Mytilus edulis: one gene and its partner. The protein of the gene in region 1 interacts with the protein of each later gene in a biochemical or structural test. Links are inferred from orthologs where the notes say so. Each region holds a gene or a part of one and is shown on either strand. Other genes may lie near its edges. The genes, in order: serine/threonine-protein kinase greatwall-like and cAMP-regulated phosphoprotein 19-like.

The links.
Region 2: of the proteins of serine/threonine-protein kinase greatwall-like (region 1) and cAMP-regulated phosphoprotein 19-like, one has a biochemical effect on the other in vitro, tested with the Drosophila melanogaster proteins (2 studies listed by BioGRID). The link is inferred for Mytilus edulis from reciprocal best matches to the Drosophila melanogaster genes gwl and endos.

The regions. Positions count from the first base shown.
Region 1 is NC_092350.1:35,707,208-35,724,503, forward strand, and holds the start of serine/threonine-protein kinase greatwall-like, read right to left. Parts: upstream 8,346-17,296; 5' UTR 8,246-8,345; coding exon 8,216-8,245; intron 7,082-8,215; coding exon 7,026-7,081; intron 6,148-7,025; coding exon 6,047-6,147; intron 4,542-6,046; coding exon 4,450-4,541; intron 2,927-4,449; coding exon 2,787-2,926; intron 786-2,786; coding exon 697-785; intron 187-696; coding exon 74-186; intron 1-73. Other genes in the region: uncharacterized protein, read right to left, coding at 14,544-14,794, 17,177-17,249.
Region 2 is NC_092347.1:89,974,485-89,991,683, forward strand, and holds cAMP-regulated phosphoprotein 19-like, read right to left. Parts: upstream 7,802-17,199; 5' UTR 7,715-7,801; coding exon 7,640-7,714; intron 3,409-7,639; coding exon 3,310-3,408; intron 2,959-3,309; coding exon 2,767-2,958; 3' UTR 181-2,766; downstream 1-180.

The DNA of each region.
Region 1 (17,296 bases):
TTTATCAATTTCTCTTTTAAGGGTAAAAACTACTACTCTGTCAGCATGTCTTCAAAAGCTTCTAATGACTTACAAATCCAAGGTTACTCTTTAATGATAGTATTTGACCTGGAGTTCTGTAGTAGTCCCGTCTACTCTTATAGTTTGTAGGTAGTGGGGTCTTGGTAACATCAATTCCTATTTTATCTGCAATGATTAGATATAAGTACTGTTGTGTTGTATTGATTTACAAAGAGGTGTATTAAAGTATTATATTGAGCAACATAAAAATTATCATAATTTCATCAATCAATTGATCAGAATAATTGTTTGGTTTGAAAAAAACAAAAAAGCCATAACAAACAAGATTTTATGAATAAAACTGTAATTTTGTTTGAAAAAAAACAACATATACCACATAGGTTTGCAAAGTGGGCCAATCAAAATGAAGGGTGGAACATTTGTACTGCTATTGAAATGACTTTTGATGGTATATTGGGTAGGGCAGACATTTTTCTTTGCGATAGGTCACCTTTTGACTTTGACATTTCAGTTACTCTAAGCTTTCTTTTACCTGCAGAGACAGTGGCACTCTCCCTACTTGAGGCATCTGATTTAAAATCCTTACTGTCACTGGATTTTGTCATCTGTTGTTTACCTTTAACATTCAAAATTATTCTTTAAATGACTATCACCTAGTTATGACCTTCAACTTACCAACATCAAGGTTAACTTTTGACAATCCAAAATCTGTCAGCTTTATGTGACCTTTCCTGTCAATCAACATATTGTCTGGTTTTAAATCTCTAGAATGTAAGTAAGTAAAATAAAAATATTTTTTCGATTATTTCAAACATCATGAAAACTATGAATTTTCTGTAAATGAAATAATTAATACAGGAGAGGGGCTTCTTTCAGTTTTCTTTGAAAGCAATATATTTTCAGTGCAACATCAAGTTAAAAACTGTTTAGAACAACACATATAATAATGTTAGAATTAAGCTAGAGAACTTAGTCTATAATAAAGAATATAGACATATAATTTATCTATCTATAAAAATTAAAATTTGTTGTATGATTGCAAATGAGAAACTCTCTACCAGAGACCAAATGACATAGAAAATAACAACTAAAGGCCACTGTATGTTTTTCAACATTGCAAACAAAACATACTGCTAAGTCAGCTATAAAACACCCTGAAATGACAATTGTAAAACAATTCAAACACGAGAACTAAGGGCCAGATTTATGTACAAAATGTTAACAATGAAAGAAAAACAAATATGTTACACAGCAGCAAACAACAACCACTGAATTACAGACTCCTGACTTGAGACAGGCAAATACAGAATGTGAATTTTCTTCAGAAGACTTGTTAAAGTTAAAATAACATCAACAAACCCTTGGAATATTTCTACATTCAATTGTGTAATGTTTATATCATGCAATATACTAAAAGGAAACAGGTCCCACGTCAAGAGCCTATAATTCAGTGGTTGTCTGGGTCATGTCTGTCAAGAGCCTATAGTTCAGTGGTTGTCTGGGACATGTCTGTCAAGAGCCTATAGTTCAGTGGTTGTCTGGGACATGTCTGTCAAGAGCCTATAGTTCAGTGGTTGTCTGGGTCATGTCTGTCAAGAGCCTATAATTCAGTGGTTGTCTGGGTCATGTCTGTCAAGAGCCTATAGTTCAGTGGTTGTCTGGGACATGTCTGTCAAGAGCCTATAGTTCAGTGGTTGTCTGGGTCATGTCTGTCAAGAGCCTATAATTCAGTGGTTGTCTGGGTCATGTCTGTCAAGAGCCTATAATTCAGTGGTTGTCTGGGTCATGTCTGTCAAGAGCCTATAGTTCAGTGGTTGTCTGGGACATGTCTGTCAAGAGCCTATAGTTCAGTGGTTGTCTGGGTCATGTCTGTCAAGAGCCTATAGTTCAGTGGTTGTCTGGGTCATGTCTGTCAAGAGCCTATAGTTCAGTGGTTGTCTGGGTCATGTCTGTCAAGAGCCTCTAGTTCAGTGGTTGTCTGGGTCATGTCTGTCAAGAGCCTATAGTTCAATGGTTGTCTGGGTCATGTCTGTCAAGAGCCTATAGTTCAGTGGTTGTCTGGGTCATCTCTGTCAAGAGCCTATAGTTCAGTGGTTGTCTGGGTCATGTCTGTCAAGAGCCTATAGTTCAGTGGTCGTCTGGGTCATGTCTGTCAAGAGCCTATAGTTCAGTGGTTGTCTTTGGTTAATGTCTGTCATGTTTGTTTTTTGTAAATTGTTTTGTTACAAATTAGGCTGTTAGATCTCTCAATTTACTTGTTTCATATTTTTCATGTAGGGGTCTTTTATAGCCAACCATACAGTGCAGGTTTTTCTCATTGTTGAAGGTCTTTCAGTAGCTTATAACTGCTTACATCCACTTCATTTAATTTGATGGATAGTTGACTCATTAGCAATCACACCATATCTCCTTATTTTTATAACCAGTACCAGTGAGGGTCTGAAAATTTTGTATAAATTATAGATCTACTGGTTATTTAAAGTAATCAATTATTTTATACTTCCATTTCTACTTTGAACTGAGATTTGAGTATTGGTACTATATAAGCTTGTTACTATGTGATTGTGTGTGAGTGAGTGTGTGTAAAGGTGGGGAAAACTTGTCTATCGTTATCTCCCTATAAATAATTGCTTTTGGACAACTCTTTTTATTTATTCCATACAATGAATTAAATGTCAAAGCTAATTTAATAGGCCTTTATATGTTACCAATTAGCTAATTCTTGGAAGGAATACAGCACACAGTTTCCTGTCATTTAAACCTACCTATGTATAATGCCTCTGGAATTAAGATATTCTAAGGCCAATGTTACTTCAGCTGCTAACAACATGGCCATATCCTCGTCAAAAAATCCATAGATTCCTAGTAAACTTTTAACATCTCCACCTATCAAATATTCCATCACCTGAAAATAGGTTACAAATAGATTTTTACATTGATATCAGTGGATTATTGGATTTATTCAATCGAGATGGTTAAATTATCAATTTTAAAGTTAAAGGCCTCGGCGAGGACTTTAAAATTTATAATTTAACTATCGAGATTGGATAAATCAAATAATCCATGAGTAACTATGTGAGTATCTGTTTCTGTAATGATTAAAACATAAATTTTTCTTTTTGCTAAACCAAAATTGCCTTCCACTTTCCACAAAGTTGTCAATTTCGTTAACACCTGTTAGCATATTTTGATACATCCAGTGTGTTGGTAAAGGTTATGACTCTTAAATATATCCAATCATCTTATGAGATCACCGGTAACCACACCTTGATTAAACTTTTAAATACAATGAGTTTTATTAGGGATGAAGGAGTAGGTCCAGCAAAACCCTTTTTGGCCCCAAAATATAGCATTTTTCAAAATTGTTAAAATGTAAACTTTTAGTTATTTATTGGAAAGTAGAATGCTTCTGCTACATAAATATGGGCTGTTTTTTGACAATACAATGCACATATATCGGGTACTAGCATCATTAAGTCATGCTAAATTACTGAAATCTTCACAATTTTAGCCTTTTAGTTAAATTTCAGACAGTTTCCGTCTTAAATTAAATTGGTCGCATTTGTGTTCATTTTTAATATTGAAATGAAAGTGGGATTTGATGATAATACATAACATATATAAAGGTTGAGGATGAACACGGATGCGGCCACTTTCATTTTTGACAAAAACCATCTAAAAAGTGACATATTTTGGCATATTTGATAGATTTTTCATATTTAAGCTTGAATCAGAGCGTTTTTAATGGCTAAATCAGTTAAAATTTTTCACATAAATTAATTGAATCAACTGAATTAGACACTCAAGTGTTTAAAAAGTGTCCGAAATCTTTCGTTAGATACATCTGAAATTTGAGGTCAAAATCGGCCCTTATCCCTTTCCATAGAATTAGAGAAAATAAAATATATATAACAGAAATGAGAGGATAATCCAAACCAACAGCAATCACGTTTTTATACTTTTTTCAAATAAATTACTCAACCCATAAATAATTAACTTTATTTTTGACAAATGTAATATTGTTCCAAAGATCCGAAAAATAGTAAATCTGCTAACATCCTACAAAAAAAATACTAAAAATGTTTCAAAGTTTTCTGATGTTTGTGGACATCTTTATGTTTCCTGTGCCTAGGACATCCACTGCTTTTTTTTTCAATTGATGAGCCTTCTATAGCTGACTATGTGGTATGGGCTTTGCTCATTATTGAAGGCTGGATGGTCCCCTATAGTTGTGAATTTCTGTGTCATTTGGTCTCTTGTGAAGAGTTGCCCCATTGCCAATCACACCACATCTTCCTTCATTTACATGGATTTTCTTTTTGTGTCCGAAAATAATATATGTATAACATACATTGTATGAGAAGCTGATTTTTTTTTATATTTATACTTTTAAATATTGGAAATATATGTATAATATGATAAGCCTACCAAATAGATATTCTGTTTTGACTGTAATGAGTAAAACAAGTGTACAATAAACGGACTGGTGGCCTGGGCCATTGCATCTCTTTCTGCCAAAACTAAAATGGAAAAAAAAATACATTCAGAAGACAAAAAACAATTTTCACAAGAATAAGATGTCAGGCATCACTAACAGAGCAGGAATTAAAACAAATATCATATATTAATATTGTTGTATAAGTACCAATAATCAAATTTAGTTATTCATTAAATGTGATGTACCAAAACCACTATGTTGAATCTGTTTTGTAATATGAAAAATATGATTTGGGAATGTCCAACTGCAGGTGTATGAACATGTATGTCTGACCCAGTGGTCAGATATTGTATTTTTTTCTGAAAAATATGCCATGATTTCTGTTAAGCCTTTTCCACTATTTTTGCTCAATTCTACACTGCTTATGTGGTCTGGTTCATGCTCCTTATTGGAGGCTGTATGGTTATCTATAAACAAAAAAATCAGTCAGGGGACTTACTTGAACAAGTGATTTTCTAAATCACTGATTCAAGTAACATTATTTCCATAAAGGTTGGAATTAGAGTTGTCTTTCTTTAATAATCACCTATTTAAGTAGTACAAATTAATCACTAGAAGAAGTGATTTAATATTAGTGTAGCTTTAAATATAGAATACTAATGATCCAGGGACTAATTATGTTTCTAAACTTATCAGAACCAACATCTGTGTTGTCTAGGATGACCAGGTCATTTCAGGTAATGACCTTGTACTGAATCTAGGATAATGACATAAAAATCACTTGTTTAAGTATCAGACCTCAATTTCCTTCCCAAAAATCACTTCTTTTAATAACCCCCATTAATTTCAACACCCCCGAACAGTGAAATTTTTATCGCGAACAGTAGAATTTTATTACATAATCTGAAAGATGAAACCTTGAACTTCACAGGAAAAATACTCCCACTGCTGTGAAAAATCTTTTAAGAAAGTATCAGTTCATTATGTACAGCCATAATTATAGCATTTTTTGAACTAAAATAGAATTTTCAGGTAAATGATAGCATCAAAGGCATAAACCTTGCTACTTAAAAGAAGCAAAAAGTTCATGTTTTTTAATTTTACTAATTAAAAGATGTTATTTAGACCATATGTGTTTAAAATTTTGAAAAAACTACAAAATCCCAATTTGTGACAAAACCTCGAATTTGCTTCTCAAATAAGTGATTTAAAAATCACTTATTTCAGTAAGTCCCCATACTGATAAAAGCATGTTGTTTAATTTTTGTCGTTTGTTGATGTGGTTCATGATGATTTCTCATTTTTTATATAGATTAGACTATTAGTTTTCCTGTTTGAATTGTTTTACACTACATGCACTAGTTATTTCGGAGCCCATTATAGCTTTGTTGTTCGGTGTGATTAAAGGCTTTGTCCTATAATTGGTTACATATATAATGTGACTTGGATGGAGAGTTGTCTCATTGGTCTTTTTTCTATTGCTTACTTCTACATCAGTTCGTCTCTGAAAGAGAAACCACTCATTGGCAATCATGCCACATTTTCTATTTTTATGTTGAATATAAACTTTGTCTTAATGAAACTTACCTTGATCCCCTAGATTTTTCTGTACCATGTTTGCCTTTTTCATAACTTTAATGGCATAGATCTTATTTCTGTCAATCTTTTTACATCCTAAGAAAACTTTCCTGAAATAGTGATGAAATACAATTCATGTACAAAATAAAACATAAAAAGCATTCAAGGTATTTCAATAATTTTGGATAGACCTTACACACTCTCTGTACTAAATCAAACAGCTGTGCCATGAGCGCATGATATGTAACTGAATTTGAAATTTGATCTGTAACTTGTCATGATCAAACAATATACCAAATATCAAATCAATATATTTAAGACAGACAGACCAAACATAGTGCAAAACTAAAGTCCCCTTCAAATTCCTTGGTAGGGGACTTATACCTATTTTGTAGTGGACAACTTGTAACTGATTGTTTGAATTTAAACATAAAATACACACATTTCAAAAACTACCTAACCCTTATTTGTAAAACTTTGTGAGCCTAACAAAGAATGTGAATATTAAATTTAACAGATCATATGCCTACTTCCTGGCTTTAAATTAGAGCGCTGAATCTTTGTTTATTTGAGCATGTGTTTTTTGAGGGTTTTTTTAAGGGTTTTTATGTTCTGTGTACATCATGTACATGGTGTACATGGTGTATAGATCTGATGAGTTAAGCACTTTTCAACTGATTTGCATAGTTTTTCTTATTATGTTCTGTTTGTTGCTGTATATAATACTTTTTTTTCCCCTCATTTTTGGTTTTTTTTTTTGTACATCAATCAGGCCTTTAGTTTTTTCAATCAAATTGTTTTACAATTGTCATTTATTGGATTTTTATAGTATATTATGCAGTTCGAGTTTTGCTCATTGTTGAAGGCTGTACAATATCCTTCAGTTATTGACTTCTACTTCATTTGGTCTCTGATGGAGAGTTGTCTTATTGACAATAATACATTTTCTTCATGCTCTTATTTTTACATGTAACTTACAGTTACTTACCCAAATGCTCCTCTACTGATAGGCTTTATGAAATCAAAATCTTCTATATCTGGAGGCTGAAAAACATTTCATATTAACATGAATACTTACATGTATGTACATTAAATTTTCTTAGCTTTTCCTATCAATGCTTTTGGAACATGGTCAGCATGGTCAGTGGTTTTGTTTTGTTTTTTTGGAGTACAAAATGTATTTGTATTATAAAGATCGTTATAAATATAGTGTCAATAAGTGTGAACATCCAAGACGGCGACCATGTCACATGGTATACATGTATGCGTTATCCATGTTATCCTTGGTCGCCATGTTGGATGGAAATACTATATTTAAAACAATCTTTGTGAACTTTCAACTTACCTGCTTTTTATATATCATTTTTAAGTTATAAAAACCTTTTTATTATATGGGGACGAAGTCCCCTACATGTATTTCAGTAGAAAAATAAAAAAAAAATTTAAAAATTTTGCATGAACCCCCTGAGGGGTTTCATGCGTATATATTGGCGAGTTTTGGATGTGTCTATGGGCCTCTGGATATCTCTCTGCTGGAAGCCAGAATAAAATTCTTGGAACGTCTCGAAAGTTTTTTGGTCATTTATACAGGTCTTTACGCAATTATATTTGTTTGAAAACGACCACTGTACACTGTGTATCTAGGTCAATTATATTTCAATTATACTCAGGAAGGCATCAAAGCAAAAATTTGAAATAGCCTTCCAAGACATCATAATTATTTGGACTACGGTTACATCCTGTTTACCCGATTTGCTTGTAATATTTCCACTTATTTCTCTAACAAAACTAAAATTAAATATAGTTATCTCTTTTATTTCATAGGGCTTGAGGTTATAAATGATGACTGGAAATTCCAGCAACTTCTATCATGTCTACAGGGGGTGCATTGGCGGATCCAGGGGGGGGGGGGGGGTCATGGGGGGTCTGGGAGGTTGAAACCCCCCTTTTTTTGTCGCTCAATGCATTTGAAAGGGAACATATAGTTGGAACCCCCCCTTTATCCTTGGTTGGGAAACCCCCCCTTTTTAAATGGCTGGATCCGCCCCTGGGGTGTCACTCAATGCCCCAAAGAGCCCGAGACACATGTGCCTGTGGCTGTGACCTAGTGTGGATAGATCACCTTCCGTCTCGAGACAGCTGCAATCTTAGTTTTTGTACAATGACATAAATTTTCACCTTTACAATAAAGTCTTTGACTTGTTCCATGTTTGTCCTGTTAATTCTTTTCCAATTTCCCTCATTCACAAAATTGTGTCTTGTTTACATTTTTCATATTTGCATTAAAGCGCCAAGAACCAATCAAATCTCCTGTACTAAAAAGCAATGTCAAGGGAGGTAATCATTTGCAGCCCTCTAAATTTTACGCGAAAACTCAATTTATATATGATATGGGGTTTATAGTCCTTTCATACAGATTATATCTTGATAAAAGACTGTTATTTTGATACATACGTTAATATCACTCATATTGAATTTGATTTTCAATTAATTGGAGTGAAATGATTTTTGTTATAAATTAGAGTTTTCGGGTAATATCAATAAGTTTTGGGATATTAAGTAAATTAATTACTATAGGGTTATTAACGACTCAATCCCTAAATTACATTTGTAGGGACAGGCTTGATATCATAGAACATAATTTGGTTACTGGATTAATAAATTTATATCCCTTGAAGATTGTTTTTGAATTAGAAAATTAGTTACAAAAATATATAAATTAAAAAAATAAAAGACATTCCGAGTCGAATCAAAAGAGTTCACCATTTCAAACTTTTGCTAATATTTCATATAATAACACATTTTTAAATCAAATTCCGTCCAAACTATTTCTTGTCTGTCTGAAGCGAATGAATTTTTCTAATCATATATATATATATATATATATATATATATATATATATCGAAATGTCTCTTTAGTTAATGAAATGTATAAAAAAAAGGGGGGTCATAAATGATTCATACTTTAGAAAAAAAACACTTATTTAATTAAAGACACATAAGTGTTTCTGTGCAAAAAAAATGATAATATGGCTATAAAAATCAATTGAGTCTTAATTACTGTTAGTAATAAAATTTCATAAAAATATTTCATTTTAAACATAAAAGTTGCTGGAATATTTTTTCGTAGGACGAACAAAAATATATGACTTGTATTTAAAAGAAATAAATATCATGACCTCAAAATTAAATGATTGACACATGAGCGCTAGTCTCGGCATTTTTTCGCTTCGTATTTAAGAATTAACCTTGTTTGACGTTCTAAAAAAATGAAATAAATTATCGGACACACTGAATCAATTCAAGTCTTTTAATTTTTTAATATTTCACAATATTTTGATTATGTTTAAAGTTTAAAGTCTAACCCTATAAAATAGACATCTGTTAAATGAAAAGCCTCTATTGAACACGCGGCAGTTCTGTATTATATTTAAAAAATTTGTCTATCCTAGTGGGATACTTTTATGCGCCTAGCCAGTACCCCGAATCATATAATCATGTCCTTTGGCTTATGATATAATCCTACGATTAAAAGAAAAAAGTTGATTTGAGTTTGAGTCTTGATTCCGTCTTGTAAGAGAGTCAATAACTTTTCCCATTTTCCGTTTCCTATAAATCACTGTAAAACAAGTCAACTTTCACATAATATCTAGAAACAGTCTGTTGAGCATTAGCCGTTTCAAAAGAAAAAAGACCTCAGAGAAGCATATTCTGACTTGTAGATCTTTTCCAAACAAAGCTTCACTGTTTAAAAATTTATTAACAGTAAGAATCAGTTTCGGTTACTTACCTGAATAATAATTTAAACAGAAATCATTTGTCAACAGATGATAGAAAATGACATGATAATAGAATAAAAACACAAACACAAACAATAAACAATAAACATAATCCCCAAAACACTGCACAAAAAATAAAGACTAGTGGGATACTCTGTACAATCACTAAATGTAAGTATTCACTGAAGGATAAACAGTATATGCTCCTCTAGCATGGTCAAAGTCAGTTACTTGGGATTTCTATGTGTAAGTATTCACTGAAGGATAAACAGTATATGATCCTCTAGTATGGTCAAAGTCAGTTACATATGAAAAATAAAATCCGCTGAAAATAATCGAATTCTGTTATAAGACATTAGGGTGTAGAAATTTGATTCTATACACAATCATAAATTTAAAAAAAATCTGACAATACCATGACAAAAAAGAAGTACATCGAAAAGAAAACCATCAGAAGAAAAAATAGTCCTCTTTAATTTAAGAAAGTACTTTGCATTGGTATATACTATATAGACAAAAAGATCTTATAAACAAGGTTTATAATTACGTGGAAACTTATTTCATTCCAAAATCAAGATCTTTGTCGTAATAAAATCGACATTGATATAAATTATTGGAGGATCAATAAGTTTCCACTTAAAATCCAACCTTATAAAGATCTTCGTGTATATCCGATACACTAAATAAGGCTTTAGCATAAGAACTGCTACCACTGGTTGTATGGATCTAAATATTTGGACAAACTTAAATATATAAAAAATAAGATGTGGTACGATTGCAAATGAGACAATTTTCCACGAGAGATCAAAATGACACAGAAATTAAGAAATATAGGGAACCGTACGGCCTTCAACAATGAGCAAGGCAAATACACTAACAAAAACACAGAGATGGCGTGGACGGGTCATACATTCACACAACTGAAAGACACTATATAAACACAGATCTGAGAGTACTAGCAGTTACTAACAGCTATAGCTTAAAACCAACAAAAAATTATGCATCCTAGATCTATCAGTTTACATCTAACATTCGATGAATTTAATGAAAAGACGTAACAAACAGTCCGAGAAAAAAACCCAGAATGTACCTATTCACTATATGTTTACGAAACACGATCTAATTGATTTCAACTTTAGAAATAAATTATCCTTTTAAAAGCATGTAAAAGATGATCGCAGATACCAGGGTTATGATTAGTTCCACCTGCATTTCGTCTTCGTCAGACTTGCCAGTTGCCTTCGACAGTTGGTAAGCCAAATTGAATATGAAGTTAATATACATTGAAAACCAAATAAAATCTTAAATAAAAGTTAAGGACAGTTGAGGCTATCTTCGACCGGGGATACAAATATTTTAGTGCATTGAATTTGCAGAAAATGAACGTAACTATATCTGTGATATTTCATGTCAACACAACACACACGCGCTGACGATCGGGCTGGTGATACCTTTAGGATGAAACTAAACGTCCACCACCAGTTATCGATCCAGTGTTTAAAAAAGGATCGACGATATGACAGGCCTTTTCAACTGATTTTTAATTTGTTCTTATAGATATAGGAAGATGTGGTATGAGTGTCAATGAGACAACTCTCCATCTAAATAACAAGTTATAAAAGTAAACCATTATGTTTATCTGTTACGCCACCGTTACAGGTTTTAGAGGGCTGACGCCTTCAAACTAGTTTATCCTGCCACATTATGTATGGTATGTGTCTGTCCCAAGCCAGGCGCCTGTAGTGCAATGGTTGTCGTTTGTTGCAGTATGTCATGTTTATTTTTTCGGTCTTTATTTTGTACATATATTGTTGAATTGTTTTACATTGTCATTTCGGGGCCATTTAGATCTGACTATGCGGAATGAGTTTTGTTTATTTTTGACGGGGAACTATAATAGTTGTTAATTTAACTGCCTTGTGGTATCTTGTGGAGAGTGTTCTGATAGGCAATCATACTACATGTTATCTTTATATCATAAGTAGGTACAGCTAGGTTCACACTGCCGATCGGACCAACTCGATCAATCCCGATCAAGACAAATTAAGCGATCGGGAGACTGGTCTGACTCAATCGACATGAATGTTCGGGCTTGTCTACCTTGGTCGTCATCGATATGACTTTCTACCCGAGAGTTTTTGACATGTCAAAAACATTCGAGTAAGGATAGAGAAGCCAGTCTTTCGAGAAGAGATCGAGAATTTGTCGAGTAGTTGTCGAATTAATCGGAAAAGGATCGTGTATAGATCGAGTTTGTTCGGTATACAAATAGTTTACCGACCAGTACTCGATCATTTCGATCTATACTCGACTTATTTCCGATCATTTCTCGATCAACGCCAACCTGTTCGATATGTGGTCCAGATTTACTCGACCAATACCCGATCGCTTCATAATCACTTGCGACTTCTATGTTTTTTACATCCCAACTCGACCAATACCCGATTTCTACACGACCACATTCGACCACTCTTCGGTCTCTTCTCGGCCAAACACTCTCTAAATATGTGTGCAACTCTGATTAACTCCCGTAACTTTGCTTCTGCAAAACTATATTATTGTCTCTATTTATTTTTTAACTATACGCAAATTCCTCCATGTACAGTTCGCGTCTGTACTTTTGCAAGGAGGTGTAAAATTATAAAAGAGAGACAAAAGATACTAAAGGAACAATCAAATTCAAAGGTCGAAGACAAACCGACACAGCCATAGCGAAAAACGAAAGCCGACGAGAAGACAAACAACAGTCCACATAATACAACATAGAAAACTAAAAACTTAGTAACACGAAACCAAATAAAACCTGGGATGATTTTTGTTTGACTGTCCGGAAATTTTTGTAGTAAAAAATCGAAGATGTGGTATAATTGAAAATGAGACAACTCTCCACAGTAGATCAAATGACACAGAAATTACCGGCGTTATGTCAACGTACGGTCGAATGTTTACAAACACTTTTTTCAAATGCTTTTTGGCGCATTTAAAAAAAAAGAGATGAGACGAAAGACTAATGATTTTTATTTGAATTTGTGAAAGATATATGGAAACAGTTTCACTTGATCTGTGTTTTATGGTATTAAGCATTGTTCAAACGTTTCATAGAATTGGATTGAGTAAAATAAAATTAGAGAACGGAAACTAATTGTTTGGACGTACGTATAGTACTTACGGACGGACAAGGGAAACACTTAATGCCCCCTCCGCTGTAGCGGGTGATATAGACCGGCCTCCGACCCCTATACGATCATGTCGATCTGGTCTGGCCTAGATCAGGCTGAGATCGAGTATAGTTGATTTGGTCTAGCTAGCCGGGAAGAAGTCGTTAACAGGCCCAATCAAGAATTTGGTTCCGCTTGGTCGTGGAAATTTGAACAATCGGGATCATCGAGTTGGTCTGATCGGCAGTGTGAACCTAGCTAAATGCGCGTTTCGTAAGCCACATAAATGTCGCTTGAATAAAAAAAAGTTCCAAACCAGCCAAACAGAAAACGAAGTTGACAAAACTTGAAAATCAAGTTAATTCAAAAAGTTGGGTCAAATACGTCTAATGCTAACTTTGACTGGGGTAGAAAAAACCAATCTATAGTCTTTTGAATGATTCAAAACCGTTTTAAACTTGTTGTAAAATGAACGCCACTGTCGATCATATGATACATGAAACTGGGAATGGAAATGAGGAATAAGACAACAACCCGACCAAAGAACAGAAAACAGCCCAAAACCACCAATTGGTCTTTTACACAACAAGAAAACTGGACTCTGAACAAAAATATGTACTAGTTCAGCGAAAATGGACGTCACACTAAACTCTCATACATATAAATGTACAAAAATTTAAAAAATATATATACAAGATTAACAAAGGCCAGAGGCTCCCGACTTGGGACAGGCGCAACAATGCGGCGGGGTTAGACACTTTTTTAAATGAGATCCATACCCTTTATTTATACATCTAGTTTGACAATGGTGAGTGAACAATGACATGCACATTTGCAGGTTTATAATTGGTATGCTGATATTGAGAGTAGATCTTATATGGCAGAGATTTTTTGGTTTTAAAGTTTCTATCTATCTATTACAGTTTGCAACATAATAGACAGAAATGAAGAACAACATAATGGTGAAATTCGTCATTATCAGATTTTAACTATGAACTAGTTGACATATAATTTTGACCTAATTCCAGCTACTAAACATTTCCGGGAACGCTCATGTTGATTAGTTCTGCAACAAACGAACCAGTAAATTGAAGAAATGCGCTATGTATAAAGGCGAATTACTGTGTGTAAACAAGCTGTAAAGGTTTTTTAATATAAATATAGTTCTCAATACAACATGTAAATGATACAGAAAATGATATAAAAATGGTTAAAAAATGAATAAATTCAACCTTAAAATTAGGTTATGCTATACAAAAAAGATTAACTACTTGTGCAGTTTATCTACATGTAAAATAATATCTTAAGTAGAAATTTTTTTTCTTAGCAACAACTTCCTATACAGTTCGTTTTTTTTTCTCTCTCTCGAGACTTCTTTGTCATTGAAAAGCTACCTCGGACTGAATACATTTTATTTATAATTCATGATCAACTATTGCACTTGCAAAACAGCACTTTTTTGACACTTTTTACAATATCTTTTCTGGCTTATTCGAATGCAATTATATTTACACTCTTTATAAAAATAGCTTTATTTGAATGCAATTCTCGCGCTACAACAGTAGTTGACTAAACCACATTGTTGTCTGTGCCGTTAGATATTGTATTGTTGTCTGTGCCGTTAGATATTGTATTGTTGTCTGTGCCGTTAGATATTGTATTGTTGTCTGTGCCGTTAGATATTGTATTGTTGTCTTCATCTGCGTAGTTATATACTGTTGGACTAAATGTGCCATTCTCTAAGGGTAGTACTTCCGTCGATTTCCTGAATGGAGACATTGATAATTTACTTTTCTTGTTCTGTTTCTGTTGAAGAAAAGCTGAAAAACAAACAACAAGAAGATGATGATTGAATTAAATTCCACACATTTGTTCTTATAAATAAGAAGATATGGTAAGACAACTCTTCATATAAGTCACAATGTATAAAAAGCTAACAATCATAGGTCAAAGTACGACCTTCAACACAGTGTATTGGCTCACACCAAACAACAAACTATAATGGGCCCCAACATGACTAGTGTTAAACAATTCAAACAGGTAAACCAACGATCAAATCATATATTCCAAAGATTTTTAAAAAGCCTTAAAATACATGCTTAGATGTAATACTGTACATATTTATTAAGGTTAAAATGATTTTCCTTCCAACAAAAATTCTGCAAGCAAAATCTTGTCTTCAATATTTCTTCCACTGAGACATGCACACACAGCATGTTTTCTAATAAGACAACAGATATAGGAAGATGTGGTATGAGTGCCAATGAGACAACTCTCCATCCAAATAACAATTTTTAAAAGTAAACCATTCGGCATAAAAGACCGATTTGGAAATTCCAAATATTTGAGATGATACGTAACACGAGACAATCGATACAGTTCATCGTGCTACATAAAATGTAAAAAAAACTACAAAATAATATATTTGGTAGGTGTACTTCAAAGTTCCTCATATAACGACATATATTTTGACTTACATATGGTATTGACAATGATTGTTGGTTGAGAAAAAAGTATGTCGACAAATGGGATGATTTTAGCTTTTTGATTGTGAACTTTCCATTTATATGTTACAAAATTCCAACAGCGCCTGCATTCGGAGTATATACCTACTATATGATACGACATTCTAGAGCTTAAGCCCTGGTCACAACGACCCCACCGTCCCACAATACATCTATGCAGCGCCACGACATGAAAATTGGTCAAATCGTTGGTCATTTGTGGTCATCGTACGACAGTCGCACGATATTGTGAGCATCGTGGCGCTGTCGTGTGTCGTGGGACGAAAATTGGACATGCAACTTTTTTGCTCTACGATTTTTTATCGTGTCACGGTCTTGTGGTTGTCGTGGTAGTGTCTTACCACTGTCGTGCGACTGTCATGCGATAAACGCATTGTCGTGGGTACCAACATTAACCATTTTAATAAAGAAAAATCGTACAACTGTTGCAAGATGACAATCCTACGACTGTCGCAAGACACTCGTGATACGGTCGCATGATTGTCTCACGCATATCCAAGTTTCGTACGATACTCGCACAACATTGATTGTCTGTCGTACGACAGTGGTACGTTCGTCGTGCAACATATTTTTGTTTTATTCAGAAGAATACAATTCGGCGGGAATGAATGTTTGGGAAAACATACCGTCTGTCGTTTAAAGAGGATGACTATTCCACCAGAACGATTACGGTTGATCCTGCTAAATAGACGCCTTGCCGGACTCTAACAAGAGCAAAATATGGTCCTGTTAGCGTTAATTCGAGCCCGTGAACATTATAGGAACCAGTGAAACGCCCGACGATGGTGGGTTAGTCCATGGATCGAACGGCGCCTTATGTTTAGGCAGAATAGTATACACTGATGCTAGAGTTGGAGCGGGAGTCTGTCGATGATTTCGTTGGATTCATGAGGATGGAGCCTGGCAATTCTTTTTTCTCTGTCGTGTACCCATCATGGACATGTCGTAGCTGATGTGACCACTCGAAATATTGTTTGACATTTTGCACGACATTGCCACGACAACTTTTTTATAGATCTTCCACGACAAAAAAATCGTACGATCTGTTGTGACCGGGGCTCCCTTAAGTTTTCTATAATGATTTCCTTGATAGAAATGTTTTGCTTATACGGATATAATATTTGATCAGGGTTTCAAGCGCTAAAAGTTAAAGCCATCCTTTTGAAAGTTAAATGGACTCCATCACGAGCTGGCTGATCGTTACGGACCTTGCCCATGGTATGTTCAAATGGTCGTAACCACAATTCCACCCTCTATTTCCCGATCGTAACAACACCAAATCTGAAGTTACTACGAGTAAGACGACGCCGAGTATCCTATTGGAGCAGAATCTACTTATCCAGCATTCCGGAACACTTTATATCCCACCAAGATTAAGTGAGTTCGTATTGTTCAGACTTTGTTTAATATATGCTGTGTTTTGTGAAGTTGTTTGTGTTATACGACGTTTTTCGTTTTATTTGTCATTGCGTTGTCAGTTTCATTCAAATTACGAGTTTTGAATATTCCCTTGGTATCTTCCGATACTTTTTTAATATGACAAATTGGTATAAATGATGCTTTGTTTATTTGTTATTTATTCCTTAAATATTTAAATCATTATATATATTCTTTATTGTTAACTGAAATCTTTTAACTGATTGTTTCTTTCAAATCCACATGCACTTAAATACGTACCTAAATGTTGAGATATTTTCTCTTGTGGAATTCCTCCGTCTATCGCCATCTTCTGTACAATATCCAAACATTGCTAAAAATAAGAAAAGCTTTTAAAAAGCCTATTTATGTTAAACAGTT
Region 2 (17,199 bases), on another chromosome or scaffold:
GACATCAACACTTTACATATATTACATTAATCAATTGGAGTTAACCTATTGATATCGTTTGTAGTATAAAACAGAATTTCCCAGGAAAAACAAGTAAGCATATCATTTGTGGACAATATAAGGAACTTATGTGCTCCTTTCTATGACTATGAACATGGCCGTTAGCAAAGAAAACTAAAATTAGTTTCATATTTATAATTACAATATGATTCTGTATGTACATAAACAAACATGACTTTTAAATTTAACAAATATATATATAATGTTTGTAAATAAACACAATAAGCAATGGTCTTTGCAAAAATGGCCTCTTTTAAGAATAGAAATAATAGCACTTACACTAACCAATTACTCAGAAATTTCTACCAGAACAAATTTGATAAATGGCAAATGCAATTCATACATCAAAAAATTGTATTAGTCTTCAATATCTAGAAACCTTCACCTTGGTTTTTTTCGGATCCTTTGCAAAATAGTTACATCATTACCATTAATGTATAAAAAGATTACTGTAGTTCACAAATACATTTTATCTCATCCAGGAAATGTCATTGCAAGTAAAACATTTGCTTGGTAAATCTATAAATAGTCTAAGAAATGATCAATCAATTTACAACATAACCATGCATACTCTAAATACATACAAACATAAATAACAAGAGAACAAGGTCATATAAATAATATTCTCTGCTTCCGAGCCGAAAGGTATTGATCTATTATATAGACACAAAACATTCAAAAAATTATTTTTTGTTTTTGTTTTCTTCCCTGCTTAGAGTCAAAAACATAAATCTTGAATAAGGTCATTGAAGTAATAGTTTTACTGATTGATTTTGAGTTTTCTGTGTCATGGTTTGAGGAATGTTTTTATCCTTTTCAATTTTGTTTTGTATATCAACAGAGAATTTGAATAATACTTGGAATACCAAATATACACACTACAGGACTTTGAAAAAAAATAATAATCTTGATTTATTTGCCAACTTCATTTACTCAACTCTTTATCTGTTTTAGTGTTTATATAATTGTGATTTCAAAGCAAATTATAAAAAAACAATTTTTGCAGTAGAAATCTTTTCAATTAATGAAATTTTAATGTGATTACATGTGTTCTGAAATCTCTTAAAAAGCAATAATTATTAGTATAAAAAGTATGAAAGCTTTCGTTTATCTCTGTTATTCAGTTCACAACAAACAGTTACACATTTACTTTGTATAAGTAGTATCCCATAATCTTGATTATGACAAATAATTACAACTGTCCGTCATGTCTATACAAAATTAAAAACAAAAACAAATGATCTCTTTGAAAAAAATGAAATCAGAAAACTTAAGAATTCTTACCAAAAAATAAAGAAAAATTCCCAATACAAAAGTATTGTTTGAAACACAATCCCTATAAATACATGTACAAACAGTACAAAATACCAATATTTAATGTTTTATTAATTGATATATAGTAACTTAGCAATTGACTTTTTGATTGGGAAAAATGACTTCTGGAAATATAATTGACTGCGAGCCTCAGATTCAAAAGCTTATTAATTTAAAGCAAAACTACATGTAACAGCAAAAACAATCATTTTTTTTTATAAAAATATGAAATACTTTTGTGCACTTCAACATTCACCCATTTCATATCTCGATTTTAATTAGATGTTATTGTTAGTTACAATATCATAATTTGGGGACAATTTTATCTTCAATAAATATTGCACTATTCTGTCAATTATTAGTCAATGTCAGAGAAACAACATCACTACAATGATGGTCTTTTCTAACTTGTTCTGTTACCATGGTCACATGAACAAAACAATGGCAGATTCTCTCAATTTGTTCAGCTACCTTGGTAACATGAAAAAAACAAATGGCAGATTTTCTAACTTGTTCTGTTACCATGGTAACATGAACAAAGCATTGGTAAATTCTCAAATTGGCTAGTTACCATGGAAACAGGAACACAATGATGGTAGATAAATTAACTTGTTCAGTTACAGTTTCAATTACATTTCATTTCATTCAATCAGTTCTCAATTAAATATGGTAGTGGTACATGTATGTGTAGCATTCAAATATATATTTTTTGTCTTCTTAACCTAAACAAATGTTAAGAACCTGTGCCTTCTTAATTCATTTTTTTTTCAAATTGTATCCTGTTATCTTGGTTTCATTTTACAAATTTACTCTTCAACTAACAACTTTTTCCTACATTGAATCTACCAGCCTGAAGTTTCAAGATTAAAAATAACAGTAATTATTTACTCTCTTAAATGTTCTCATAGTATTCATATAAAATAATAAATTATTGTTAAACTCAAGCCAGAATATGACTCAGTAAAAGAATCCAAAAGTAATGGCAATCAAGAAACCAGTTTCTGATTAGAAAATTTAAAGAACTGTGGACCAATCATACTTTTGTACAGGCCTGACACCACTTTTTTTCCTTATTTAAACCATCTATCATGATCATTGACATACTATTTCTCTGAAAATGAATAACTTAAATTGATCAAAAATGTACATGTTTATATACCATGAAAATTCATTTTACTTCTCAAAAAATAATTGAACATGTGTTTATAATTTTTGTTTTACACTTGAAATACTGTATATGGACCTTAAAGAAATGTGATGCTCTTGAACAACTTGGCAAGCATACAGTGGAAGCAGACAGACAATACACTTTGTGTGTCCTTACTGTCAATCACTTAAATCTACCAATATTGTGGCATCCCTGATTTCTATGACTCTGGATGAATGTAACATCTATGACAATTCTCCTTCTGCTAATCTACTCTGTATGATGGAGGGTTTTCTAGGAGGTAAGGATTCTGGTGTCGGGATAGCATCTCCAATTGATTCCTGTAATATCATCTTTTCTGTGGGCGCCAAAGGGGTCTTTGGGTTGTTCATCTTAGCTTTGGCCATATTGTAATCTCCGGAATCAAAATACTTTTGCTAAAAAAGAATTAAAATAATCTTATTAAATATATATACATACATACATGTATCCATCATTTTCTATAGCAGATTAGTTATAATTTTGCATGATTAAAGACAGGCAGATAGACAAGAGTGCAAACCTTAAGTCCTCTTTGTCTTCGTTGGTAGGGATATCTACTTTTTTCACACTCAAGTTTTTGCCCATCTCTTTCAGTCTTTGTAAGGAATGTCTTATCCATCTTGTTTTGTACAGCACTATGCAATTTAATTAGAGTTGTTCTTGATCAATGCTACAGTTTCTTTGTATAATTTTTGGCAATAGTCCTTACAGTCCATCTTAGTTTGAATACCGGTATTTCTACTTACCCCTCTCTGTAATCTCTTGGCCAATAGTCCTGATGGTCCACCTGGTTTCACATTGGGATATTTAGCTTTTAATTTGGCTTCTTCCATCATCATTTTCTCCTATCAAAATTAAATACTTTATATGTTAGTTAATCATGTTTCTCTGTTTGATATGTAATTATAAGCTGATTTCGAAGAGATTAAATGTGATGGTCAAGAAAATGGAAGTCCTCACTTAATCATGTTAATGCAAGTAAATGTAAAAGTCAGGTAAAGTTAGTTTTCTTGTTTGAATTGTTTTGCATTTGTCATTTCAAGGCCTTTTATAGCTGACTGTTCATTATGCAGTATGGGCTTTGCTCATTTTTGTATGCTGAGCATTGACCTATAGCTGTTTATTTCTGTACGTGTGGCACTTGTCTCTTGTGAAGAGTTGTCTCATTTGCAATCATACATTGTCATATGCATACTACATCTTATTTTTTTATATGTGTTCCAGACCGTATGAGTATTTGCACCGTATGCGTACTTTTTCAAAATACTCATACGGTCTGACTAATATTAAGAAGTTGGTGAAGTTTATTAAATACAAATGCATATAACAAATCAACATAACGTAACTCTCAAATTGTTATAAAAAAGTGCAACTGTAATTGAAAAAAAAACTTTATATTTTAACTATTTAACAGATTCATGCTTTTTAAATCTGTTAATCTCTTGTATAAAGTATGTCGATCAGTAATAGTTAACATGAATTGAATAAGATCACTGAAATTGAAGATATATCGGAAGTAAACATAATGTAAGAGAACAACTGTTTTCGAATATTTAGCAACTTTATCAAAAAATGTAAAATGCATAAACTGCAAACATTTAAATGTAAAAAATTTACGTTACTTGTGGAAGCAAGCGTCACCTTGGGTGAGAGTCCCAAAATATATAGGATTCAGATATACAATTAAAAAACTATTTAATTTCAATAGTTCGTTTGTTCATTTAATCCATCTAATTGTAATAATAACAATTTGTAAAACTAAAAAAAAAAAGATTGTGATAAATGTTTGTTTAAATTTAACCCATATGATGACATGTATGGTTAGCTCGTACTGGACCATACGCGTATACTCATACGGTCCGACCGTACGAGTATACGTATATGGTCCAAATACTCATATGGTCTCATATACTAAGAGATGATCTAGTTTTACAATAAATGGATAATATTAAAAATTAGTAAAACTGTTTGATCTTTTAATATTTTTTTCTTTAGAGTGGGGTGCTAATTTTCGCCACATCTTTCCATGTTTTCTACAGTTTATGTTCAGGTCTAAATGTTTTTGAAGTATACTGATATTTCTATATGAACATTGAAGATAACTTAAAATGCAAAATATACTTAAGGCCACACCAATTTAATTCCTTGTTCAACGGACCCACCCGCACTTATTTTTTTCAAAACAGATTTTTTAAAATTTTTATTATATTCCCTCTTCCTGCATCCGGAAATGTAATCATGTCCATTTCCCGCACCGTTTTTTTGTAAATATTAGAAAAAGATCTCAACATTTGTTTTTAAAATCACAGTATATTCTTTATATAACGATTTAAAACCTATAAGCAACCCACAACACTGTAAATATCTGTGAGAATATTTGTTTCAGCATGAAACAAATTTGTTCAAAGTGGGAGTGCCACGATATAAATATATAACACCGGAAATACCTGTACAGAACAAAACATTGGTTTCTTTCCCCCTGACTTATGTTCCCTATCAAAAAAGTTCGTTGTTAAAATAAAATACATGTACAAAGAATTTCTGAAGGATTTGCCTTCAACTGCAATTATAATGTATTCTGACGGTCATACCCGCTGCAGGTTTGTACACCTGTCCTGATTGATTAGGGACCTGTCGTTCAGCAGTTATCGTTTGTTAATGTGGTTCATTGGTATTTTCCCGTTTGGAAATATAAATTAGATCGTTGGTTTTCCTGTTCGAATTGTGTACAATTCTAAGTTGTGGTCCCTTATAGCTTGCTGTTTGGTCTGGATCAAATCTCTGTGTAAAAGGCCGTACTTTGACCTATGTTTGTTATTATCAGGTTATTCCTCAGACAAGGGCCTTGAACATGTTGAAGGGGTCATTTTTCCATGTTTACTGTTGAGTGTTGTAGAAAAGAAAAAAGAAATACTAAGGATTTGTATAGTGCTACTATACAAAACCTTTGAAAACTTTTTTTACTCAAAAAGAGGAGAAATACATTATATTTAAATTACACTACTTTTCTAAAAGAGGTGTTCACTTATTTTGAATAATATTAAACTGTTAAAGTAAATGTGTTAACATGGTTAAAGTCCAGGAATATTACAAATTTCTTGGACATGTTTTGACCATTAAATACCATATAGATATTATAGTTTTTTGAGAAAATATTAGCCCTTTTGTACTAAAAGGCTTTTTACAATTTTTTTTTTATTACAACTTATATTAACCCCTCATAAAAGGGATATTCATAACATTAACAGATTAAGGGGTTGTTCTGTACCTGATTATGACTTGGATGGAGAATTGTCTCATTGTCAGTCACACATACATATAGACCAGATTTAATTATTCAATTATTTCTTGTTGAACAGGGAAAAATACTTCATACCATAAATTAAAGAAATGTCAAGGTACAAGTGATAAATTAAGTTTTAATATAGTCAAAACATACTTTTTTATGTTTACAAAAAAAAATTAGAATCGCTCGCCTTTCATGCCTTTACTTTTTAAGCTTCGCCTCAAGAATTTGCAAATTAAATATTTTTTTATTTAAATTTTCAAATCGCTCGCTCGCCCCAATTTTTGGAGTCCAAAAATCCGTAGAACAAGAAATTAAATTGGTGTGGCTTAAGCTTGAAAACCGGTTTGTTTTAAGAAAATCATCTGAAAAGTTAGATTAAAGGGTGTTTGAAATTTCCGGATGTTTTGTCAATGGGGGACACATATTCGCCGTTTTTACACATCTATTTAAAACCAAATAACCACAAATTTTTATCAAATCAATTGCATTATAGATGAATAGCAGACATTTCAAAGGTATAATGAATTCAAAATTAGGGCATTCAGTCAAATATTTTCTTAGAAATACTTCTTTGAAATCGTGTTTTTTATTCAGGAAATTGTCCGAAAATCGTTGTCCGTTTTTCGGTCATTTTCGGTAGGAGCCGCAATTTTGTTTCAGTTTAAAAAAATATTATATTTGTTATAAAAATATAATTTTACGGGTACATTTCTTCCATTTCAGCCATCCTTTGAAGTTTTTACACCTCAAAATCCTTAAACGGCGAAATTGTGTCCCCGGCGAAAATGAGCACCCCATTCTATCATGAATTTATAGCAGGTATTCATAATCACATATATTTATCTTGTGGCACAATAATCAAGTGAGTGAAATATATAACATGAATGAACTTAAGTGTAAAAAACAAGTTTCATTGCATGATAAAACTAGTAATCATGGTAATAATTATGATAATAGTGCTAGAACAAATAAACACATACAGATATGTATACATTTACAACATTGAAATTTGGAAGCCCAACTTTTTCCTACAATCATGACAATGGTCAGTGTTCCAGCTAGGATTTCAAAAGGGCAGGGTGTCAATCCTGAAAAAAGGGCATTTAACACGTGATATGATAATATGAAAAGGGCATGTTTTAAAAAAGATATTAATCACACATTGTGTTTATTCGTTGAAATCACCGTTCATACAAGAACTGACAAACTTGTCAAGCAGCTTGTCACACAAGTTTTTAAATCATTGCTTGGCACAGTTAAGCTTTATAGGCAGCATGTTTTGAAAGGTGTCCTGCATCATTCTGTTTCTATGGTCTGACACTCTTTACAATTTTCACCTTTCTACCTCTGCTGTGCTTAATCCTCAATCCTCAATCTTATGGCCTTATGGCACAACTCTTCTCATTGGTGCATATTACGCCCTATGTGTATCTTCCTCCATGTATTTTCCTCCATGTATTTTCCTCCTTAATGGCAATACAGCACAAAACAGCTGTGCTCAGAAAATGTACAATGTTAAGCAGTGATGTAAAACCTTTTCCAAATAATCCACAATATTGACTTGAAAAAAAATTGTTGATACACTACAAAATGATGATCAGAATAACCTCAACCTAAAATATTACTTACTTACTCTTTAAACCTCATAGCTTGTGTGGAAAGAAATAACTCTAACATGAAAATTATTCATTAAGAAATGAAAAATAAAACAAAACAAAAATGATGAAAAAAAGATCTCTTTTTGCACCGAAACTACTCATAGAACGAAACAAATGTTAATGTTTAACCTTTATCGTCATTGTTGTGGGTTCAGGTGCAACAAATTCTGGCTCTTTTCGATCTATTGTTCCTTCCGATGACATGTTTATCTTGTTTTGAAAGGCTCTCACTAATTTTACAATTGGAGATGGAGGCGCTCACACGGTATTGTAATATCAACCAATCAACAGCAAAGATTTAATTATCCTCTTTTAGTATGTGGTTTAGCCCAAAACCTAAAAGACATCACGAGTAGAAAGGAACTAATCTAAAATTTTAACATTTTTAAAGTGCACTTATAAATGCAGCATAATTACAATTCAATTATCGCTACAAGACAAAGCACACAATACTTTATGGATGTACTTAAGGATGTACAGAATATTTTTTTTATTTCCCAAATTGCAGGGCCCTTAAAGGGCATAAAATCAGATAACATTACATAATTGGTAACAACAACAATAATAGAGGCATATACATATATATTTGGAATATAAGCATTGGTCAGAATCAAGCTAAAAAACACATATATATATTGTGAATAAAAGAATAATAAAATTACATTATACATGTACATGTATTTATTCTCAAATTATTTACTTGACTTAGTGTCAGTGTTCATACCTGATCTCATTAATTCAAAACAGTCACATATATAACAGCCCAGTTTTTCCATAAGAGTAACATTTTCTTGGGTCAAGAGCCATACAAATTTAGAAGATTTATTTAAATTTATAAAATTATAACAATTGTTAGAAATGTCTTGAAAAAAATCGTCCCTTTGAATATCATAAAGAGGGCATTCTAATAAAAAAAATGAAGCTCATCTTCAACTTTACCAAGTAAGCAATTAGAACAAAGACGCTCAGATCTTTCTAAATGCTTTTTTGAATATCTGTCTGTCTCAGTTTTTAGAGTGAGCACTTATTCTTAATTTACAAATTGACTGTCTTTTTTTGAAGTCCTGCAATTCTAAATATTTTTCTTTTTTAAAACAATTTTTTTATAAAAAAATAAGTACCAAGCTTTCCTTTTTCGGAGTTAATTGTTTGATACTTAAGTTTATTGCAAAATGTGAAATAACTTTTACATAGTTTATTTTTAACATACTGACATAAAGAACCAATTGCATGATTGGTCAAAATTTGGTAATTCAATCTATCTCTGAATATAATCTATACTAGAACACCATGTATTTACATTAGAGCTATGTAACTGTTTACAACATATAAATGCATCAAATAATAATCCTTCTTTCAAATGCTCCAGTCTATGACAATATTTTAACATTGATAAAATTATAGTAAAATACATAGGAAATCTACCAAGCTCTGACATTACAGCTATATTACTTGACTTTCTGTTTACACCAAGAATATATTTCATAAATTTGGTATGAGCTTTTTCAGAAGAATCCTGACCAAAGACTTTTTCTAATATATAATCATTATCTTTTTTACAAGCAGCTGAATCCGTTCTAAACATTCCCCATATTTCACTGCCATATAATAAATAGTATGGGTTTAATTGTATGATCATAAAGATGTAAAAAAGTGGCAATACTAGGGTTACACCTCTAAGGAGCAAAATATTTCTAGAATTAAGCTTTTTTTCTTAACCTGATTTTTGGGTTTAAAAGACTGTAAAAAAATAATTGCGACATATCAGAAACAGGAGCAATGAGAGATCGGTTTTTAATTAGATTACGCGACATATCAGAAACAGGAGCGATGAGAGATCGGTTTTTAATTAGATTGATTTTGATGCTGTATTTCATTTTTTTGGGGTTAAATATGATTGAAAAAATACATATCTAAGAAATTTGAAAAACAACATGATTCTTATAAAATCATTTTTTTGTACCCCTCACTTATTTTCACAAAATTTTGGCTAAAAAGACTGACTTGTTTGGTCTTAAAATTCGAAAACTGTATTATTGAAAAACTTTTCATTGTAAATACACAATTTTTTTGCACAGAGTTATGTTTGATTATAACGTAACGGTACCAAATTGCACCTATTTAGCAAAACTAGCCGCGAAAATCTTACAATTTGTATTTTTATGATTTGATACTTATAGCACATCTTTCAACATAGTTAAAACTATTTAGATATGCACAAAACGTTCACCGTATTTATCAACAGATGAAGTGTTTACTGAAAAAGCAAAATGTACTGAAACGTCGCCATGCGACGTCACCAAAACGCGGTCATCTGTTTAAAATGAGCAAATGCAATGTATGTTGCAAGTACCCATTTAAAAAAAATGAAGAGTAATATCCAATTGTTTAAAATATTTGTTGAAATTAAACAAAAGCTCTGTTATTAGACTTTTGACGATGTGAATTAAAGCATGAATGCAATTTGGGTACTCCTCATTTCAGAATAATTGATGGTTTGGAGGTCAGTTTAGACCAATTTTTCTATGATTCCATATGGAATAAAAATCAAATTGGTGTACCTTTATAATAAAGAAGGATACGGCTACGAAATAAACACAGACATTTTTGTCTTTATCATAAAAAAAACGTAGATGAAAAAACTGTCAAAATAGGTGCAATTTGGGTACAGTCACGTTAACATTTTTAAAATTTATTGATATTTTCCACTTGTATCACATGTTTTGGAAATAATTCCAGAACGAGATTTCAACGAGACTGAAAGTGAAATGTTAAAAAATACATTAAGAATTTAAAATTGATACTTTACATCCGGAAGAGCATTAGATATACATGGATAAAAATAAGCTAAAAATATTGATATGTCATGGAACTCCTTTTCGAGATATTTGATTTTTATTAAAATATGTCGGGAAAAGGCTGACTCGGACTTTCACCTTATATTTGCATTATCATTATTTGGGTCTCAAACCTGAAGAAAGAAAATCTGTTTAAAATTCTGGTAAATGACCGTTATGAGGATCCCGCTTTTTTGTTGCTTTCACATATGTGTTGTGTTTATTGAAACAGATAAAGTCCGAAATTACAAAAGAAAATCATTGATTACTGATTCCATGGATTCGTTTCAACCTTTCATTACATGACGGCGAATTGTTATATACTGAATTAAAGAATACAGAATTCACTGTACAACGTTTTTAATCCGTATGACCATCCGAAGCAGTCAAATAATTGTTCTCATTGGTGAATAACATTTTATCCTTACAAGTGTAATGACTCATGAGCCTTTCAAAACAACTCGATGAGGAAACGCTGGTTCAGGAAATATTATCAGCTTGGAACTTAAATATACACCACATGTGCAGTTATTGACCGAATGTTGCTACACAACTATATATAGAAAGTTCTGACATAAATCATCTTCAAATGCGTATGTTCCTTATTTCTACCTGAAAGTCAATGATATTTCGAAACAAAGTGACCTTATAGTCAGTAAAATATATCTCTCAATGAACCCCCACTGACACTATCTTGGTGTATTAACTGTTGATCAGTTAAGGTAGAAATAGTACACAAATGTGAGTTTTAAGATTAACGCCCATATCAAACTATAATTGATAAATATGTTAATCTTACAGAAATTTATATTGCAGCCCTGAATACTACATTGGACCATTCCAGTTAATATCTGCTAAAGGGGATGGATGGTCCTTTCTGAGGGGTGTAAAATTTATACATCTTAGGGTTGAAATTTGGTGTTTTTTTCATCTGACACGTACACTTATACGCAAAAATTTCTGAGGGTCTTGTAGCAGTAAATAATTAAAAATAATTACATCTTAGGGGTTTCAAAAATTACCTATTTCAGATCTTAGGGGTGTTTGGAATGCAGACAGTTTCGTATCATGCATTATCTGGTATTGTATTTAAAATTCTGATGGGTACAATCCTTGCAGTAAAATATTCTGATAGGTCAATTTTTCCCATGAAAGCCCATCCCCTAATATGAACTGAAACTCTACATCTGATAGGTCTTAATTTATAGATCTGATAGGTAGATTTTCATGATGTTTTTTTCTGATAGGTATGAAAAAAAATTCTCCCCATCCATCCCCACCTGTCAGAAATTAACTGGAATGGCCCATTGTATTAGTGTCAAGTTTAAATAGAGTTGTCGCGCTTCTTCTATATATATCATCATTTGCTAAAATATAGTTACCATAGCTCTAAGAACAGAGACAAGACAAAAATTGAAAAGAATTTTCTTTAAAGGTACAACGTAACACACGTTTTTAACCAATAAGTAACAGGGTATCAGTCGAGCGCAAAAACGAGTACATTCGCGCTCAAAGTGTAATTTCACCTCTACAAATCAATTACCATAGATAAATATTAAAGAAAGTAAAGCACGAAATAAGTAACGAATAGGTAATATAACGAATAAGGAAAAAGGAAAAAGTAACGAATAGGTAACAAATAAGGAATAAGGAATAAGTAACGAATAAGGAATAAGTAACGAATAAGGAATAAGGAATAAGTAACCAACTTGAGGACCCTCACCATATATATATACATATAACTCATCTCCAATTCAGCCCAACAATATTAGTACTTCTGCAAATTTGCTTTCGCGATGTGTCCTCGATCATTTATTCCAATATCAGTGCAATAACTTTATAGTGCATGACTGGGTGTTTTAGTTTGATCTGTAGTAGAGAATCATGGAAAGTAAGTAGTTTACTATTGGAATGTTACTTTTTTGTACATTATTGTACGTAGTATAAAATTTACTCCGTTGACCGTTTGAAATCGAAAGAAAAACCAAATAGGTCTGCTTCAGTGGTTGTCGTTATGTTGTGTTATTATACATAATTATTTGTAATCATACATTTGTGTTTTTACATTATTTAATTAGGCAGGTATTTTTTCTCGATTGACTTGCTTTACATTTGTCATTCCGAGATCTGTTATAGCTGACTATGCGGTATGGGCTTTGCCCATTGTTGAAGGTCGTACGGTGACCCATATAGTTGTTTATGTCTGTGTTATTTAGTATCTTATGAAGAGTTGTCTCATTGACAATCATACCACATCTTCTTTTTTTATATTTTTATGCCCGAACACCATCCAGCTAATCAGAAAAACGAATTAGTAATACGTTTTAAGTTTCAATTTTCAATGAAACAATTTTGTTATTGAAATTCTTATTTTATATATTCCACTTTTGCTGGGGTTCGTGTTGTTCAGTCGTTGTTGGGTATTGCAGACTGTTATTTGTCTTTCGGATGTTAGCTGGGGTTCGTGTTGCTCAGTCGTTGTTGGGTATTGTAGACTGTTATTTGTCTTTCGGATGTTTTTCGTATGTTTGCCATTACAGTATGTTCGTTTTCGACTGATGGGTTTGGCTATTCCATTGGTATCTCCCACCTCGCTTTTATATTGTTCTTTAAAGGTGAAATGCTATGACTGGTGTCTAACAGTCATGATCGACTGATTTAACAAATAAAGCATAAAGCATAATGTTTTCATTGCTTCTATTAAGATGTTAACTCCTTATATATTGCCAGTAACATTTCTATGTTATGAACTTGAAAGGCCATTTTCAAGTCTTGAATGTCTCAAACTTAGGCGTCGGATAAAAACAAGTTATCTCGCTATGATGTGGGAACAAAAAACAAAGACATTTTAATATAGTTGTAGGGCGTGAGAATAGAAAAATTATTCGAATACTAGCTGGTTTTTCGGTTATTCAGTGTATGATCGATTATTGATTGCTTCATGGCATCCCTCAGTGTATTGAGTAAAGCTAAAACAAAAGTTGCCTTTCAATTTACATTACTTTATAAGGTACAAAGTCTGGTGTGTTTGCCATTCTCTAACCTAATAAGATACAAATTCTGGTGTGTTTGTCATTCTCTAACATAATAAGATACAAAGTCTGATGTGTTTGTCATTCTCTAACCTAATGAGATACAAAGTCTGGTGTGTTTGTCATTCTCTAACCTAATGAGATACAAAGTCTGGTGTGTTTGTCATTCTCTAACCTTATAAGATAGAAAGTCTGGTGTGTTTGTCATTCTCTAACCTAATAAGATACAAAGTCTGGTGTGTTTGTCATTTTCTAACCTAATAAGATACAAAGTCTGGTGTGTTTGTCATTCTCTAATCTTACAAGATACAAAGTCTGGTGTGTTTGTCATTCTCTAACCTTATAAGATACAAAGTCTGGTGTGTTTGTCATTCTCTAATCTAATAATATACAAAGTCTGGTGTGTTTGTCATTCTCTAACCTAATAAGATACAAAGTCTGGTGTGTTTGTCATTCTCTAATCTTATAAGATACAAAGTCTGGTGTGTTTGTCATTCTCTAACCTAATAAGATACAAAGTCTGGTGTGTTTGCCATTCTCTAATCTTATAAGATACAGAGTCTGGTGTGTTTGTCATTCTCTAATCTAATAAGATACAAAGTCTGGTGTGTTTGTCATTTCTTGATTTCCGTTGAAGGACATAGGAGAGAACAACAGAAACAAACAATAGCATTGTGGGCAACAACAGAATCAGGAAGTCTATATATTTCATTTTATATGCTGTAGAAATCGTTCTTTAATATTTTGATATCTGAGCTTGGCAGCTTACACTGTTTCGGTCATGGGTCTCATATAGGAATTGTGTACCCGTATGGCACACCGTTATTATATTTATTCAATTTCCAGATATCTTATTTAGTTAAATAAGATATCTTATAAACTAATTGAGATATCTTAATAACAAAATGAGATATCTTATATATTAATTGAGATATCTGATTTATTAAATAAGATATCTTCTATATTAAATAAGATATCTTATTAAAATGTTTATAAAGATATCTTATTAAATATATAAGATATCTTATTTAAAATATAAGATAACTCTATTAATGTATAAGATATCTTATTAACTATATAAGATATCTTTTATATAGTTAATAATAGAGATATCTTATTTACTTAATAAGATATCTCCATAAGTTAATAAGATATCTCTAGTAGATTATAAGATATCTCTATTAATTAATAAGATATCTCTATTAGTTTATAAGATATCTCTATTAATTAATAAGATATCTTATAAAGTATGTATTTAAAAGATATCTTTATAAAGAAGTAAGATATCTTATATAATTTATAAGATATCTTATTAATTAATAGAGATATCTTATTAACTTATAGAGATATCTTATAAACTAATAGAGATATCTTATAAACTTTTAGAGAGATCTTATTAACTTATAGAGATATCTTATTAACTTATAGAGATATCTTATAAACTAATAGAGATATCTTATAAACTTTTAGATATATCTTATTAACTTATAGAGATATCTTATTTAATTGATTATAAAGATATCTTATTTAATATATAAGATATCTCCATAAGTTAATAAGATATCTCTATTAGTTTATAAGATATCTCTATTAATTAATAAGATATCTTATAAAGTATGTATTTAAAAGATATCTTTATAAAGAAGTAAGATATCTTATATACTTTATAAGATATCTTATTAATTAATAGAGATATCTTATTAACTTATAGAGATATCTAATAAACAAATAGAGATATCTTATAAACTAATAGAGATATCTTATAAACTAATAGAGATATCTTATTTACTTTCAAATTAAATAAGATATCTTATAAAAATTAAAGATATCTAATACTTAATAAGATATCTTGTTAAATAAATAAGATATCTTCAAATTTGAATAAATATAAAAACGGCGTGCCATATATCCGTATCCTTGCAAAAGGCACATCCCATATAATTTCTTGCAACTAGTTGCTATCTAGACGGATGAAACTGAATCAAGAGTTTCTAGCGGTAAAGTTGAAGTGAATCAAGAGTTTCTAGCGGTAAAGTTGAAGTGAATCAAGAGTTTCTAGCGGTAAAGTTGAAGTGAATCAAAAGTTTCTCGCGGTAAAGTTGAAGTGAATCAAGAGTTTATAGCGGTAAAGTTGAAGTGAATCAAGAGTTTATAGCGGTAAAGTTGAAGTGAATCAAGTTTTAAGCGGTAAAGTTTAAGTGAATCAAGAGTTTCTAGCGGTAAAGTTGAAGTGAATCAAAAGTTTCTAGCGGTAAAGTTGAAGTGAATCAAGAGTTTCTCGCGGTAAAGTTGAAGTGAATCAAGAGTTTATAGCGGTAAAGTTGAAGTGAATCAAGAGTTTATAGCGGTAAAGTTGAAGTGAATCAAGTTTCTAGCGGTAAAGTTGAAGTGAATCAAGAGTTTCTAGTGGTAAAGTTGAAGTATAGTTTTTGAAATTGTTATGAACACCAACATTAAACTTTTTAGTTATCAAAGAATGTCTCTCTCTAATAGATACCACCCATAGATTTATTAATGGTGAGGGAACATATTGATGATATTGATATATATACCGATCATAGATTTATTATTTATCAGGGAAAATATTGATGATATTGATATAGTTTTATGAAAGCTCATCATACAAAAGAGCGAAAAGAAAATTGTTATATCCTGTGGGATGTAATTTCAATAAGACAAATAGCAGCATTAATGTTCCTAATGTAAAACTCTAATATGGTTCTTTATTGTAGTATTTATAATCTTGTTTATGGCTTCGGTCGGCAACAGAAGATACTTTTATTAGCTGATATTAATCTCTGTCTAAGTAATGTATTCAAAACTTTTCCGTGAAGATCTAATTATAGCTAACTTCAGAGCATTCATTATTTTCAATTATAATCATTATTGATAGATAATATCACAACTTATTGACCAAGAAGAAATTTTATCATCCTCTGAAGTCAGACAGACGTCTTGGATCTGGAGAGAATCGTTAAAATATAGTAGCAATCATACGAGTTAAATAACCTCTGACTGTTATGTATCAGTTATATAAGACTATTACAACACAGCATAGGGATCCGTCTAAATGTCTGATGTTCTAGTCTGTTGTCGATACATAGAACACTGGAACACTAAGCCACCGGTATATCGACGTCGCGCTAAAAAAAAGTCCTACTATAGAGCAGTCTATAAGACTATTACAACACAGCATAGGGATCCGTCTAATTTAAAATGTCTGATGTTCTAGTCTGTTGTCGATACATAGAACACTGGAACACTAAGCCACCGGTATATCGACGTCGCTAAAAAAAGTCCTACGATAGAGCAGTCTATAAGACTATTACAACACAGCATAGGGATCCGTCTAATTTAAAATGTCTGATGTTCTAGTCTGTTGTCGATACATAGAACACTGGAACACTAAGCCACCGGTATATCGACGTCGCTAAAAAAAGTCCTACTATAGAGCAGTCTATAAGACTATTACAACACAGCATAGGGATCCGTCTAATTTAAAATGTCTGATGTTCTAGTCTGTTGTCGATACATAGAACACTGGAACACTAAGCCACCGGTATATCGACGTCGCTAAAAAAAGTCCTACTATAGAGCAGTCTATAAGACTATTACAACACAGCATAGGGATCCGTCTAATTTAAAATGTCTGATGTTCTAGTCTGTTGTCGATACATAGAACACTGGCACAATAAGCCACCAGTATATCGACGTCGCTAAAAAAAGTTCTACCAGTACAGTTAATGAAGGCCGGTTATATCTTATAGCTTAGAGAAAGCTACTTAATAAATTGTTATTTGGACGGAGAGTTGTCTCATTG